3 linked regions of the Arabidopsis thaliana genome follow. The protein of the gene in region 2 interacts with the protein of the main gene of each other region in a pairwise test. Each region holds a gene or a part of one and is shown on either strand. Other genes may lie near its edges.

Region 1 (4,810 bases), on a different chromosome or scaffold from region 2:
CTTTAATGATTTATAACCCTACGTGGAGTCGAAACTAGAGTCCATGATTATGGGCTAAGGAAGGGTTCAATGTTGATTCTGTCTCTTAAAGATGAGGAGTTGTTATCGACAAGCTGCAAAGGGTACATATTCAAACTCTCACATTTTTTATAGCTCACGTAATCTCAAGTTCTCAACTAAATGGCAAAAAAAAAATAAAAGAGAAGAGAAGTTAACAAAAACTGATTCTTCGAATATCGATGGACTAACAATACCATTAGTACGTACTTAATTATGTAAGCAATTTGACAGGAAAAAAATTGCTCAAATTAATAAGAAAGAATGTATGTGTAATCAGACAAGCGTTTCGGGAGATGCAGTCAAAGTATGCAAGTCCTTCTCCTTCTCCGAGGGGAAATTATACGCAAAGAGCCCAAAGGAAACCAATACATAAAGACTGGTAACGAACAATGCCACTCCGTTATAGTCCTTAGAGTATAAAGCTTCAAAGATGCCAAAAAGACCAAACAACCAACCGAAGAAAAGCGTGATCAAAGCATGTCTCGTCTCCATCCTACACTTTTCCGTTAGCTGAATAAGCCCTATCCCTCCGGTGAACAACGATATGGTGAATAACGATATGTATAACAAAGACAACACGTTCTCCGTAAACACGAGTGAACAAGCTAGCGGCGTTATGAACACTAGGTACAAGGCAAGCTCCGAGAACACAACCTGAGGAATCCTCTTTTTAGGTGTAGTAAACTCCGTGTAGCAAGTGGAGGGAGGATCGGTGAAGAAAAGATATCTGAGTATCGTCACTGCGTAGAATGTTGTGGCACTGACCGCACCGTCTCTTAGGAACCGAGACGAGGAGTCACCAGATGGCAAGAGAAGGTTGAGGGATATGGAGAGGCCAAAGATGGAGAGTAGAGTCATTGCATACCATAATCCTCTGCATACAATCACATCTCTTTTACTCTTCATCTTCTCCATTAAGTATCTCATCTCTCTCTCTCTCTTTTTTAAAAGGCTTTATCTCTCCTCGTGTGATGGGTTTCAGAGACTTAATATAGGGATGGTGAAATAGGTGTAGAACTAGGTATTGAACTGACTAATCTTTATTGATTCACAAAACATGTGTATTTATACAAGAGTCATTGTATGTGATAAGCTCAAACTCCTAAACTATAGGAACTAAAACATATCAAAAGAATATACGACATGTCCCAATAATAGGGTTTTCGACTTCTTGTCTTTGAAGGCTTTTTAGATTTATTATACACATGCTAAAAAGATCTTCACCTCACAACGAAACTTACTAACAAAAATAAAAATATAAATATAAAATAATATTAAGAAACTTCTAGCAAGATGTGGCGTTGTCTCTGATTCTGACTTCTAGCAATATTAAGAAACTAACAAGATCTACAGGCTCACCAAAACATGTTGTTTTATGTCTTCCATAGGTTCCTTTAAGTCCATCTACTCAAAACAAATCCAACACTGCTTTAGCAAAATAGTTTGCACAGACAATGTGACTACTCCATCCAATGTCAATTAACAAAACCACTTAAATCCAACTCATATCTCTTTTGATTACCTAATAGAAATATGTGCGTAGCTCATGTTTTGCTCTTTTGCATGATGTCCCTTTTAGTAATTGCAATATGGCATAGTCAATGAAATTGCTAAAACGACATCGTTCAAGAAGCAAAAGAGCTCATAAACACCCTCTACACTATCTAGAAGGTTACATAGACGCCTGTGGACTTATAGTCGTCAAATTGATTCCTGGATTCGCCGAAAACTCGAAATCGTTGTACTCTCTCAGTTACTATCTCTCTGTCTCATGGCGAATCCGACGGAGAACCTCGACGCGAATCCACAAATCCGAGAACCAGAAGCTGAAGAAGAAGTTGAAGAACTGAACGGATACGAAGGTGACGATGGAGGAGAAGATGACGATGGAGAAGACGATGACACCGAGTCGAAATCTCAAACGCGCGAAAGCGGATCCAGTGTAGACAGAATCAAGGCGGAATCGCTATTCCGTCGGATGCGAGCTGCTCCTGTGCCGGTGCGTGTTCACGACGTGATTATCGGTGGAAACGAGAAGACTAAGGACCATATCATTGAAGCGGAAGTGGATGCTGTGAGAGAGGCGACCACGTTGCAAGAGCTTCTCGAAGCATCTAGGGTTGCCAATTCGAATCTCCGTGCGTTAGATATCTTTGATTCCGTCAACATTACGCTTGATTCTGGTCCTCCTGAGCTTCCTGGTACTACCAATGTGGTAATCGACGTCGTCGAGAGCAAAAGCCCTCTCACCGGCCAAATTGGTGCCTACACTAGAGCAGAGGTATTGCTTTAATAGTAACAATTCACTGCTATGTTTAAATTGTGTTGGTTTATTACGTATTGGTTTCTATAGAGTTGAATTTGTCATCTTCATGAAGCTGTTTTTGTTCTTCAATACTGTGATGCTCTTGTAGGCTAGATCATCAAGCGTTGAAGCATCTTTGAAGTATAAGAACATTTTTGGTTATGGAGATATTTGGGACGGGTCTATAGTTTATGGCTGTGACAACTCTGCTGAGGTTGGTTTGGGGATGTATTTGCCAAGGTTCAGAGGATTGTCTACTCCTTTTACTTCCCGTCTTTTCCTTTCGACTCAAGACTGGCTTAAGTTTTCATCGTATAAAGAACGATCCCTCGGTCTTTCTCTTGGTCTTTTCTCAAGCAAGTATCACGAGCTGATCTACACGATTGCGTGGCGTAATCTGATCGATCCATCACAAGCTGCTGCAGTATCAATAAGGAGACAACTGGGACACAGTCTGCTTTCTGCGTTGAAGTATACTTTTAGGTTTGATCAGAGAAACTCAAGCTTGAGGCCAACTAATGGATATGCTTTCATCTCTACATCTCAAATTGGTGGTCTTGCTCCTGATAGCCGAAGCTTACGCTTCCTGAAGCAGGTTGGTCTCCTCTTCTTTCTTGTTGCCAACATTTAGATGACCTTTATTTTAAGTTTGGAAGGTTGTAAGTTCTTACACAGCAAATTCTGTGGTTTCAGTCCCTTGTTTTCATACATATCTTCCCTAGTATGTCTGAAATTTATGCTCACTGTGAGAGGGAATAACAAGAATCTAAGACATCTGATAGTTTTAGCATCTATTTTCATTTGTTTGGTCAGGAAGTTGATCTTCGGTATGCTGTTCCGTTTGGATTTTACAATGCTGCTATAAATTTTGGTGTGTCTGGGGGTGTCTCCTTTCCGTGGGGAAGCGGATACCAGAACCGTCCTTCATCTATACCAGAGAGATTCTTCTTGGGTGGCAATTCATCGCCTGTGTGCTCCTTGAGTGGGCCATCTGCGCTGTGGGGATTCAAGACCAGAGGAGTTGGTCCCAGTGAGCCAAAGAGGAAAGGTGATAGTGAACGGGATTTTGTTGGAGGAGATGCGGCAGTGACTGCATTTGCGGATCTCTCATTTGATTTGCCAGTGAGATGGTTAAGAGAGAGAGGAATCCACGGTCATGTGTTTGCCTGTGCAGGGAATATGGCGAAGTTATCAGAGAATGAGTTTAGAAACTTCACTGCTCCAAAGTTCTTGGAGACATTCAGAACTTCAGTTGGTGCTGGAATCGTCTTACCAACAAGCCTATTCCGTATGGAGGTTTGGTTCTCATCACTACTCTCCCTTATGCATTTTTATCGAATGAAAGTGCAATGATTAACACCAAAATTATCCATCGTTTTTGTTTTGTTATGAGACAGCTTAACTACTGCCACATATTGAAGAAACAGGAACACGATCAAGCGAGATCAGGGGTTTTCTTGACATTCTCTGCTTCGTCCTGAGAAATTTTTGCTGAAGAATCAAGGTACTCCATATGATATGGCCTTTCATTATTTTCTTTTTCTTAAAGCCGTGTCCCAATGTCTGGTAGAATCTTTGATCTATTGTTGAATCGAGAAAACTTTACATAGAGAGTCGATTCTTTTTGTTATGTTTGCATGGATTTCTCATTTCTGGATCCACGAGGAATGATAATAAAGAGAAAAGAACCACCATTAATTGGTTGAATGATTGATGCATTGATGCGGATGAACCCTTGATTGGATAAATTTAAAACTGTGCTAAGAAAATTTACAGTTTACACTTGCCATCAAAACTTCCTCCTTTTTTGGTTTTACATTTATCCTTTATTCAAGGAACCAATAAGTAGATTACTCTTTATTTTCCATTCTTTTTCATGGATTTCTCAGTTTCTGGACAAGCAACCTTTTCAATTTCTGCACGTATATTTTATAGTACGACAAAAATGTGTGGAAATTGACTATTCAACTTGACTTAGTCTTTTATTCTTTGCGTTTAACAGAATTCCCTAGTATCTTAATATAAGTCTTCTATTATGTGAATTAAACAGATGGGTGCGAATTAAATTATTCTACCTACCATCGAAATCTCTATATTTTCTTTTTCATAATCGATATTCAAGAATGCTAATTAAGCATAGAGAAGGATGACAGGCTCTTGGAATCCAACGAGTATCATCATCCCTGTTACACTTTCCTTTCTCCTCTCATTCATTCACAATTTTGCGGACGTGGTTGCAGCTCCTACTAGGCACTTGTGTCTTCCCGAACAAAGGGATGCACTTCTCGAACTCAAGAACGAGTTTGAGATTGGGAAGCCTTCCTCTAATGATTATTGCTATCGCAATAATAGCCGTGTAAGCCCTCATCCGACGACAGAGTCATGGAGGAATAACAGCGACTGTTGTAATTGGGAGGGTATCACGTGTGATACCAAGTCCGGGGA
Region 2 (7,880 bases):
ACCCATTTGAGTTAAATTTTAATATATATATATATTAAAAAATAAAATAAAAGAACAAAAAAGAAAATAAAATAAATTCTTTTTCCTTTATAATATAAAGTACAAGTCCCTTGCCCAATAAAATTATGCCACATAAGATTTGTTTATAATTTAAAGAATTATTTAAAATTTTTTAAAAAAAAAACGCTCATTTTTTTTTTCTACATATTTAAAAACAAAAAAATATTCCTAGATTTTCTCACACACCACACCATCATTATCTTTGGAAATTTGTAACCAACTCAAGATTTTCCAAACCGTTTTATCTTCCTCTACAAAAATCCAATTCACGTTAAATCTATCTCTTGCTCTTGCTTCCTCCAAAAAAAAAAAAAAATCATTCCCAGATCCATCGATATGAAATTGTATAGAAAAAATGGTATTCGATCCAAGTTTATTGTCTTCTATTTTTCTTAGGTTAATTTCACTTTATTCCAGATTCATTGTTTGTTTTTTCTTTCTCGGAAGAGCACAATGTGAGTTTCACTGGCCTCTGTTATAAACATATATAGAAATCTGTAACAAAAATCATTACTAAAATTCTGTGACATGTGCAGCGATCAAAGAATCAATAGCGGAAAAAGAAACTACACTGCATTCATCTATGACTGAAAGCTTCTGATCAAGCCATGAAATTAAGGTATCCCAAACACGTATCTTCTCTATGTTTATCAATCTTGCTTTAAGTTCTAATTCTGCATATTTCAAAGGAACCATACAAGTGTTCCTAAAATCCATTTGAATATTCAAAAACTTCTCTCAAATATCATGTAGTTATAGAAGCTACTGTCTCTAAGCGCACGAGAGAAAGCTACACAACCCACGTCAGTTTCCATCTACACATATAAGGTAATAATAATATTTTCATGTATCTTTAATAATAGCTCTATGTTTTTTTCTGTATTTTTCATTATAAAACTCATAACTATGTTATCATTTAATATGGTACTAATTTAATGGGATTGATTTACTATTGCCTCAAACATGTAATAATTTAATGATTTTTTGTTTTTAACGTTTTTAGAAATTCATGAGCATTTTAAATTTGTGGTTAGGTCATAACAATTTGCTATTACAAAAAAAAGAAACACTCTAAATAATATAAAAAATAGTTTACCGTATAATACTAGTAGTAAATAAATAATTTGATTGTTATTCATAAATTTTGAATTCTAAAATCTCCTGAATCAACTCATGCAATTGTCTTAAGAATTACACGTGGATAAATCATGGGCTTATGAGTCAGGCCCATTTAACCGGGGTATTTTCGTAGTTAAGAGACTAGAATGGTGGGTATTTCAGGTAAAAGGTCTATGGGGCCAGATCTGCGCTTTGTCGCGATGTCATTATCGCCAAAGATATGCGATAGCGACTCTCGTACAAAGTCTCTCACTCACCTATATTTTTTGTTTTCTTATATTTCAACAAAAAAACGTTTTATTTTCCTTTTGGTGTAAGTAAAAAAACAAAACAAAACGTTTTATTTCTAAAGTTCAGAAAACTTATTTATACCAAGGAAAAAATAGATAATAAATTTTGAGAAGTTGGTGACTATATATTACTTCACTTATTCAAGAAATTTAAACATGGTAAATGTTACTTTAAATGTTAAATGATGTATAAGAAATGTAATGAAATTGAATAAATGTAGTTTTAAAGATGTTTTAATTAGTAAGACAAACCTAGTTAGTGTCACAATAATTATATTTTTTTTTTTGTCATCCAAAATTATTAAAGCTCAAGTAAACCAATCCTGAGGGATATTATTTACAAATGTGATATGATGCGGTTCGGTGCGGATCTTCCGCGCCAAATTATACGCTTTTATATTAGCATTATAAAAAATTATAGATAAAGAGAAGTTTGTGAATTCTTCATTGTCGCTTTGCAATTTCTCTAAATACACAGTAAATACCGACAATTCGGTTAGAGAAAATATATCTATTTCGTATAATAATGTTAACTTTGAGGAGATTTTGGGTAAAATAATAACTTTTGTTGGATGGATCATATCATGAGCCATTAAGAAAAAGTCCAAAACTTTTCTTCTTCAAAGTTGGACTCAAGTTAGAAAAAGAAAAAAGAGCTAGAGAGATATAAAAATGAAAAGAAAGTTCATGGCAAAAAACTGATATAGACAGAGACACAGAGAGAGAGAAACGTATCTGAAGAAAATCTAAAAAATTCGATTCAATTTTTTTCTTACTTTTAAAAGCAAAAAATCTCACTAAAACAAAAGAAGAAGAAAGAAGAAAGAAAATGGAATACCTACATTTGAAGTGATGAGAAGAGATTTTGTGTATAATAATAATGCAATGTTCAATCCTCTCACAACTCATTACAGGTAACTAAAATAATTTCTCCATGTGCTTGCTTATTAGTCGTTCTTCCTAATGTTATGTTTCTCTCTGTGTTCTTTCTTTCTTTGGTCAAAGCTTTAATTTTTTTTCTATTGTTGGATTTGAGACAGTGAACATAGCTATGTTCTTGTTCCAATAATAAACAATCACGCCTGTAAAGAGCTTATGATTGATTAGTGTGTTTTTTAGTATTAATTAATTTCTCTGACAATAATTACTTAGTTTTTAATTCTTCTCTGTAAGAAACCTTTGGAAACTGAGCAAAGTTGCTTCTTTTGAGAACCATGCGTTTCTTTCTCTCTTTTGTTCTTGAATTCGCAAAAACATGTCCTTTTTCGTCTACAGGTTTCTAGGGTTTGTTTCTGTACTATAAACTATGTTTATGGTAACATTCTTAATCATAACTACACTACCAATGCTTTTATGTTATATGTATGCAAAAAAGGCTCTAACTTTTGTTTTCTTTCACTATTGTTTCTTCTTTTGTTCTCTATTGTTGTAGCTCAGATATGAACTGGGCACTCAACAATCATCAAGAAGAAGAAGAAGAGCCACGAAGAATTGAAATTTCTGATTCCGAGTCACTAGAAAACTTGAAAAGCAGCGATTTTTATCAACTGGGTGGTGGTGGTGCTCTGAATTCGTCAGAAAAGCCGAGAAAGATCGATTTTTGGCGTTCGGGGTTGATGGGTTTTGCGAAGATGCAGCAGCAGCAACAGCTTCAGCATTCAGTGGCGGTGAAGATGAACAATAATAATAATAACGATCTAATGGGTAATAAAAAAGGGTCAACTTTCATACAAGAACATCGAGCATTGTTACCAAAAGCTTTGATTCTGTGGATCATCATTGTTGGGTTTATAAGCAGTGGGATTTATCAGTGGATGGATGATGCTAATAAGATTAGAAGGGAAGAGGTTTTGGTCAGCATGTGTGATCAAAGAGCTAGAATGTTGCAGGATCAATTTAGTGTTAGTGTTAATCATGTTCATGCTTTGGCTATTCTCGTCTCCACTTTTCATTACCACAAGAACCCTTCTGCAATTGATCAGGTCAGTGTGTGCTTTATTAAAAGCTCAAAGCTTTGGTGAAATTTTTGATTCATAAATGCAAAGTTGACTTTTTTTGGAACCAGAAGTTTTTGAAATTTACTCTTTTATGTTTGGTTATTGAGTAAATGAAGGGAAATTTAGGCCTTTGCTTTACTCATTGGTTTGTGGCTAATTTTGCAGGAGACATTTGCGGAGTACACGGCAAGAACAGCATTTGAGAGACCGTTGCTAAGTGGAGTGGCTTATGCTGAAAAAGTTGTGAATTTTGAGAGGGAGATGTTTGAGCGGCAGCACAATTGGGTTATAAAGACAATGGATAGAGGAGAGCCTTCACCGGTTAGGGATGAGTATGCTCCTGTTATATTCTCTCAAGATAGTGTCTCTTACCTTGAGTCACTCGATATGATGTCAGGCGAGGTAATATAAACATTATCAGACACTTATGGTTTTGTTTTTTCGGTTAAGTATCCGACCTGCACCTCTTCTGAATTTTGGCTATCTTTTCTGCAGGAGGATCGTGAGAATATTTTGCGAGCTAGAGAAACCGGAAAAGCTGTCTTGACTAGCCCTTTTAGGTTGTTGGAAACTCACCATCTCGGAGTTGTGTTGACATTCCCTGTCTACAAGTCTTCTCTTCCTGAAAATCCGACTGTCGAAGAGCGTATTGCAGCCACTGCAGGGTAAAGTTCCCATCTGATTACTGGAGCAAACTTTTGCTTGTGATCATGTAAAAAGAGATTTTCGAGATTTCATGATTGGTTTATGTGTGTGATCATGTAAAGGAAAGAGGTTTTTTGAGATTTCAAGATTGGTTTGTGTGTAAAGTAAAGATTGATGCTTGAATTTGAAATGCAGGTACCTTGGTGGTGCGTTTGATGTGGAGTCTCTAGTCGAGAATTTACTTGGTCAGCTTGCTGGTAACCAAGCAATAGTTGTGCATGTGTATGATATCACCAATGCATCAGATCCACTTGTCATGTATGGTAATCAAGATGAAGAAGCCGACAGATCTCTCTCTCATGAGAGCAAGCTCGATTTTGGAGACCCCTTCAGGAAACATAAGATGATATGCAGGTACCACACAGAAAATCTTAAAGCTAAAATACTCTCTGATATCTAAAAACTGATATCTTGTTTGAACAATTTCGAGTGCAGGTACCACCAAAAGGCACCAATACCGTTGAATGTGCTCACAACTGTGCCATTGTTCTTTGCGATTGGTTTCTTGGTGGGTTATATACTGTATGGTGCAGCTATGCACATAGTAAAAGTCGAAGATGATTTCCATGAAATGCAAGAGCTTAAAGTTCGAGCAGAAGCTGCTGATGTCGCTAAATCGCAGTTTCTTGCTACCGTGTCTCACGAGATCAGGACACCAATGAATGGCATTCTCGGTACTACATCTTCAAACAAATTCCAGTACTGTTGCCTTTCATCTTTGGTTTCTCAAACTGCCTCAAAGATTCTGTTTTAAAAATTTTCTGCAGGAATGCTTGCTATGCTCCTAGATACAGAACTAAGCTCGACACAGAGAGATTACGCTCAAACCGCTCAAGTATGTGGTAAAGCTTTGATTGCATTGATAAATGAGGTTCTTGATCGCGCCAAGATTGAAGCTGGAAAGCTGGAGTTGGAATCAGTACCATTTGATATCCGTTCAATATTGGATGATGTCCTTTCTCTATTCTCTGAGGAGTCAAGGAACAAAAGCATTGAGGTAAGTTTTCAATCCAAGGAATAAAGATACATCTATTTGGAGTTGTGGCTGCTAATTTCTTGATTTCAAATTTGGCAGCTCGCGGTTTTCGTTTCAGACAAAGTACCAGAGATAGTCAAAGGAGATTCAGGGAGATTTAGACAGATAATCATAAACCTTGTTGGAAATTCGGTTAAAGTTAGTCCCTATTTCAATCTCTGCCTTTGTTGGCAGCTTGTGTATATGATTTTTGTTTGATCAAGATGTTGTCTTTTTGACAGTTCACAGAGAAAGGACATATCTTTGTTAAAGTCCATCTTGCGGAACAATCAAAAGATGAATCTGAACCGAAAAATGCATTGAATGGTGGAGTGTCTGAAGAAATGATCGTTGTTTCCAAACAGTCAAGTTACAACACATTGAGCGGTTACGAAGCTGCTGATGGTCGGAATAGCTGGGATTCATTCAAGCATTTGGTCTCTGAGGAGCAGTCATTATCGGAGTTTGATATTTCTAGCAATGTTAGGCTTATGGTTTCAATCGAAGACACGGGTATTGGAATCCCTTTAGTTGCGCAAGGCCGTGTGTTTATGCCGTTTATGCAAGCAGATAGCTCGACTTCAAGAAACTATGGAGGTACTGGTATTGGTTTGAGTATAAGCAAGTGTCTTGTTGAACTTATGCGTGGTCAGATAAATTTCATAAGCCGGCCTCATATTGGAAGCACGTTCTGGTTCACGGCTGTTTTAGAGAAATGCGATAAATGCAGTGCGATTAACCATATGAAGAAACCTAATGTGGAACACTTGCCTTCTACTTTTAAAGGAATGAAAGCTATAGTTGTTGATGCTAAGCCTGTTAGAGCTGCTGTGACTAGATACCATATGAAAAGACTCGGAATCAATGTTGATGTCGTGACAAGTCTCAAAACCGCTGTTGTTGCAGCTGCTGCGTTTGAAAGAAACGGTTCTCCTCTCCCAACAAAACCGCAACTTGATATGATCTTAGTAGAGAAAGATTCATGGATTTCAACTGAAGATAATGACTCAGAGATTCGTTTATTGAATTCAAGAACCAACGGAAACGTTCATCACAAGTCTCCGAAACTAGCTCTATTCGCAACAAACATCACAAATTCGGAGTTCGACAGAGCTAAATCCGCAGGATTTGCAGATACGGTAATAATGAAACCGTTAAGAGCAAGCATGATTGGGGCGTGTCTGCAACAAGTTCTCGAGCTGAGAAAAACAAGACAACAACATCCAGAAGGATCATCACCCGCAACTCTCAAGAGCTTGCTTACAGGGAAGAAGATTCTTGTGGTTGATGATAATATAGTTAACAGGAGAGTAGCTGCAGGAGCTCTCAAGAAATTTGGAGCAGAAGTGGTTTGTGCAGAGAGTGGTCAAGTTGCTTTGGGTTTGCTTCAGATTCCACACACTTTCGATGCTTGCTTCATGGATATTCAAATGCCACAGATGGACGGGTAACTAAATCACAACTAATACTATTTTTGGATTATTCGGTTTTTGAATTGTTCGGTATGAAAAATTTCCCGCCAAATTATAACTGACTTGGTTTGGTTCGGATTCGGTTAAAATCTTTTATAAACTTCATTGATTCTCAGATTTGAAGCAACTCGTCAGATAAGAATGATGGAGAAGGAAACTAAAGAGAAGACAAATCTCGAATGGCATTTACCGATTCTAGCGATGACTGCGGATGTGATACACGCGACCTACGAGGAATGTCTGAAAAGTGGGATGGATGGTTACGTCTCCAAACCTTTTGAAGAAGAGAATCTCTATAAATCCGTTGCCAAATCATTCAAACCTAATCCTATCTCACCTTCGTCGTAATCCAATCTTCCGGCGAGTTTTTTTTCTCTCTCCGCAGCCGGAAGAGTGGACCGATTCTGCTGATTGATATGCATTTTGGTTTCTGTACATACAGTAGGTTCACAATCTAGAGATTTTGAAGGTTTTTTTTTCTTTCACCGAAGTAATGTAGCTTGCCATGACTAGTGTATGTTGTTAAACGACAACGTCTAAGACGACGGTTCAGTGTTGATCTTAGCGTAAGTATTAATCCCACGGGATCGTTTGTACTGTATCAGATTTGGTTAGTCGTTTAAACATTGTAATGTTCTAATAATAACTTTTCCATATATAACATCTTCTTATAACTTGAGACGAGACCATTTTGATTCATCTTTTGAGCTTGTTTAGCAACCAAATCGGTTAGCTAGTTGAACGAAGATCAGAGAAAGAGCTCAAACAACTCTTCATTAGCTATAGCTCAGTCGACGACTTGAGCTTTCAAACAACAGAAACAGAGCAAAGCTTAAAAACGACTGCGTTTTACTATTGGTTCGTCGATCTCACTAAACCGAGTGAGATAACCAAAGCCAATCAACAACCCTTTAATCGGATCTCTCGATGTAATCTATAAAGGATGAGAAGAATTAGGAACTTGTCCAAGAAGAGTATATAGAAAATATCTGACTTTTTGTTTGTTTTTTATATACTCTATCGACTTATTTTATCAGTTTCAGTAGGAACGCAACGAAATACTACAGAATGAATTTCTCCCGATTTAGGTAGAATTGGATCACCACACTGTTAGGTTCTAATTTGAAATGCCTTCCGACTAATACCAAGGATAATCATACCGTCTGCATTTCTAACTACCAAATAAATTAATTGGACCAAATCACAACTGAGAGACTTTCTA
Region 3 (3,623 bases), on a different chromosome or scaffold from region 2:
ACTAATTGTGACGGATTTGTGATTGTATTTTGGTCGTAAAATGTAACGGGCCAGTGACTTAAATATGGTAATAATCTGTGACAAGTATGTTACGATTTTATTGTCACTAGTTGTGGCATAGTTGTGACAGTATCGTTCGTCACGAATTGTATCCGTTTTTGCGACTATAATAACGTCGTCACAATCAGTGACAAATTGTTACTGTTGTTAATCGTCACATTCGTTTGTGACCTTTTTGAGACATACATAGATTTGTGACGATTTTATTGTGACATTTTAAAATTTGTTTCAGTTTCGACACAAAAAAATTATTGTGACCGAATATCTTTTTATTGTAACTATAATAATCGTATCAATATTCAGTTTTTATTGTAGTGGGGGTGATCTTATGACTTACAAAGAAGTGATTCTTGGTCGTGTAGACATATCAGTGTCACTGCAGTTTAATCCCTCCCACATAAACTGCCGAGGGACACATGGATCTCCTTGCCAGCTATTTCTACTAATTTCATAGGTGGTTTTGATGTTTTGGACAGCAACCACTGACATAACATGTTTTAGTTTATGATACTTGAGTTAACACAGAAATAATTTGACTACCTTTCTAAACATAAAACAATAGTATAGACCTTATATGCATAACATACCGTCGTTTTCATTTGTTTCGATCTGCGGAAACTGGATAACTGTGTAGACCTCAAAAGCGTTAAGCAAAGGTGGAAGAGTTGATCTGTTGGTTCTTCTCAGCTGAAAACTGCATTTTCCTCCTTCACAAGTACTTGGTGACTGGCTAAAGATAGTATAAATAGTGAATTTTGGAGGTATTAAAGGGTCGGCGATGACTTGTCTATTCCAAAACATGTTAAATTCCCTTGTATCGTTGGTCTGCAACTCTTGGATCTCAGCAAAATGTCCATACAAGTAATATTGGTTATTGACATTACTCGAACTCCATTCCATCGTCAATGGTGCAGTTGAATTAGTAGATATTGCAGCAGTTTTGAGTGCTTCTTTTGGTGGAAAATATTTGTTTGAATTGCTCACTTCCAGGGTGGTGGAAATGTGGGTCCATTCATTCCTTGAAAACGTAGTCCATACACGATCATAGACATCATTCCGGTACCTTGTGACACAAACAACAGCGCATGTATGAAATAAACATAAACGGACATGTAAGGCAAATAAAAGCTCTGGTTACATGAGAAGAGGTCTTTAGTGTGCAAATATAAAAATGGTATATGACTGAAACAAATGAGTAAATGTATTTTCTATCGAAAAACACAAGAAGACTAGGAAAATAATCTCCGGACATCACAATCAAGAACTTGAATAGCCTAACATTATCCTAAGAAACATATGTAAATTTCTTGGTCAGACGATATAGGCAACTTGGTTTTTGAAAGACCAGTTCAATTGATCTCAACTGTTATATAGTTTATCATTCTATAGCTAATACAATAAGAATGTTCATAGAGAGAGAGCAATACACACGGATTTGAATTTGTAGTGGTCTCTAACTTGAATTGGTCCATTTTTCCATGTTTTCTCTAATGAAACAAGCTTTGACAATTTCCTTTCACAATAATAGCTTCGAACCAAGAAATTATAGACAGATCAATCTTGAAGCTAATTCAAAGAGCAGCACCGTGGTAAAACGTACAAATAGAAGTGGATTAACATGAGAAAAAACAATTCCAGAGTGCTTGAAACGCAGTCGCGGGAAATTCGCGTTTTAAACGCAACGGTCATTAGTGGCCTTTTACAAATTAACTAGAAGACTTATTGGGCCTTTATTGAGTTTTGGATAGCCCATTAAATATCCAGAAAGAATTCGGATCCAGTAACTATTACCTATCCATCAGTGTTTTGTTGTCACTTTCATCTGTCTCTACGCGAAGCAGTCTCCGACTCATCCAGATACCAAAGTTTAGAGAGAAGACCAAAGAGAACAAAAAGAGAAAAAGAGAAAGATGAGGTTGTTCGATCCATGGCCAGTGTTCTTCAAGAGAGAATGGAAACGTTGTTGGCCGTTTCTCACCGGATTCGCCGTTACCGGCGTTCTCATCACCAAGCTCACCGCTGGACTCACTGGTAAGTCTCTTCAGATCTGACCAATCGTCATCGGAAATGAAAGAGCTAATCCTCAATTGATCCGTATTTGTGGAATCGGATCGGATATATTGATGTATTGTGTCTCAGTATTGATTGTTGGATCGCTGGTTGTGAAACCCTAATTAGTAAATGTATTGACTCATTTTGCAGAGGAAGACGCCAAGAACTCCAAGTTTGTCCAACAACACAGGCGGTAATGTCTTTCTCTTTCGATCATATCAATGTTAAATTTCGATTTGGAAGCTGAATTCAAATCTGTATGTGATTTCTCTGCATCTGTTAATTGAATCTTATTAAGTCACCTACTTCATTCAGATGGCTTAGAATTTTATTGTAATTCATGATTTTGATATCTGGTTTTCTCCAATAGCCTGTACAAAATCTCAATGTGTAATGTTTGATTTGTCTTGCATCTGTTTCTTGAGCCAGTTTGGTTCTGTATATATTTTGTAATGCTTGATGCATTGTGAGCCATACATGAGTTTCCAACATCATTCAGATTAACTAAGTGTGTTTGATCAGACTCTTGTAATAACAAGATTTGAATCCTTGATAGATTTAGGATTTCACAGGATTCCAACACACTTACCATTCTCTATGTTTGTTCATGTTCTGTTGTGAAATCTCAGGTGATCTACTGACGTGAGTTGTCGAAGCTGAGAAGCCGAAGCGTTCTTATGGAAACTACTGAGAGTGCTTCAGCTTTCAAACCTGTTCTAATAACATGAAAGAGAGGATTATAGACACTATCAATCTCTCGTTTCCTTTTCTCTGTGTTTTCACAACTCTTGAACAGTGCAAATTCTACTCTGTTTATCCAATTTTTTTCCTTTGCAATGAATTTCTTCTTCTCTTTTTGTTCCCCAATAAGAATATATGGTTAAGTATATAGCCTCCACTTGCTGATCAAACATCCATTGTTGGTTAAAATATGCAAAATTACTAAATATAAATCTTTGATGCAAAAAAAAATAGAATAACTATCAAGAAACTATTGTTTAAATATAATTTAAGTATGACACTCTTTAGCAAAATGAAAATAAGAAAACTTGAATATAATGTTCAGCAATAGCAGAGACGAAGTTGATTATATAATCCATCACCATTACTCATTAAAACATGCACAAGTAAAGGAACAAGCTTGAGTTTTTCTTTCTCTGAGATTTGAGTAAAAGAGTGTTGTTGACGGGAACTGTATTTATAGATACAGGGTTACAGTATGTCGGTTTTCCTATTCCTTAGGTAAACGTGAAAAGCTCTTATATCTAGAAATATATTGAATTTATCTATATAACTTAATTAACCATAATTGAGAATAAGATTAATTTCTCACCACATGTACAAAATAATTATTTCATGAGTATTAAACCAACTAAGAAAAACATTTTAATATAACTTATGGGATTATTGCAAGCCAAGATCTTTCTTCAATTGAGCAAGAGTTGCTTCGATCTCATCAATATTGTCTTCTATACTATTCTTTGTGCTACTATTATTCTTCCCGGAAGATT

The links.
Region 1: the proteins of WOL (region 2) and AT3G11070 interact in a two-hybrid assay, tested with the Arabidopsis thaliana proteins (one large-scale study listed by BioGRID).
Region 3: the proteins of WOL (region 2) and AT5G59613 interact in a two-hybrid assay, tested with the Arabidopsis thaliana proteins (one large-scale study listed by BioGRID).

What each region holds. Positions count from the first base shown.
Region 1 is NC_003074.8:3,465,970-3,470,779, forward strand, and holds AT3G11070 (Outer membrane OMP85 family protein), read left to right. Parts: upstream 1-1,734; 5' UTR 1,735-1,831; coding exon 1,832-2,341; intron 2,342-2,474; coding exon 2,475-2,960; intron 2,961-3,178; coding exon 3,179-3,661; intron 3,662-3,762; coding exon 3,763-3,846; 3' UTR 3,847-4,264; downstream 4,265-4,810. Other genes in the region: AT3G11060 (uncharacterized protein), read right to left, coding at 334-975; RLP35 (receptor like protein 35), read left to right, coding at 4,512-4,810.
Region 2 is NC_003071.7:362,458-370,337, reverse strand, and holds WOL (CHASE domain containing histidine kinase protein), read left to right. Parts: upstream 1-1,980; 5' UTR 1,981-2,321; coding exon 2,322-2,383; exon of another isoform or gene 2,384-2,901; coding exon 2,902-3,451; intron 3,452-3,631; coding exon 3,632-3,868; intron 3,869-3,961; coding exon 3,962-4,131; intron 4,132-4,306; coding exon 4,307-4,525; intron 4,526-4,606; coding exon 4,607-4,845; intron 4,846-4,938; coding exon 4,939-5,168; intron 5,169-5,246; coding exon 5,247-5,345; intron 5,346-5,428; coding exon 5,429-6,633; intron 6,634-6,774; coding exon 6,775-7,006; 3' UTR 7,007-7,355; downstream 7,356-7,880. UniProt on the Arabidopsis thaliana protein: Cytokinins (CK) receptor related to bacterial two-component regulators. Also binds the synthetic urea-type cytokinin thidiazuron, a potent defoliant and herbicide. Functions as a histidine kinase and transmits the stress signal to a downstream MAPK cascade.
Region 3 is NC_003076.8:24,014,848-24,018,470, reverse strand, and holds AT5G59613 (ATP synthase), read left to right. Parts: upstream 1-1,860; 5' UTR 1,861-1,970; coding exon 1,971-2,091; intron 2,092-2,262; coding exon 2,263-2,305; coding exon of another isoform or gene 2,306-2,309; exon of another isoform or gene 2,310-2,741; coding exon 2,742-2,745; 3' UTR 2,746-3,077; downstream 3,078-3,623. Other genes in the region: AT5G59616 (Interleukin-1 receptor-associated kinase 4 protein), read right to left, coding at 394-542, 648-960; AT5G59610 (Chaperone DnaJ-domain superfamily protein), read right to left, coding at 3,517-3,623. UniProt on the Arabidopsis thaliana protein: Mitochondrial membrane ATP synthase (F(1)F(0) ATP synthase or Complex V) produces ATP from ADP in the presence of a proton gradient across the membrane which is generated by electron transport complexes of the respiratory chain.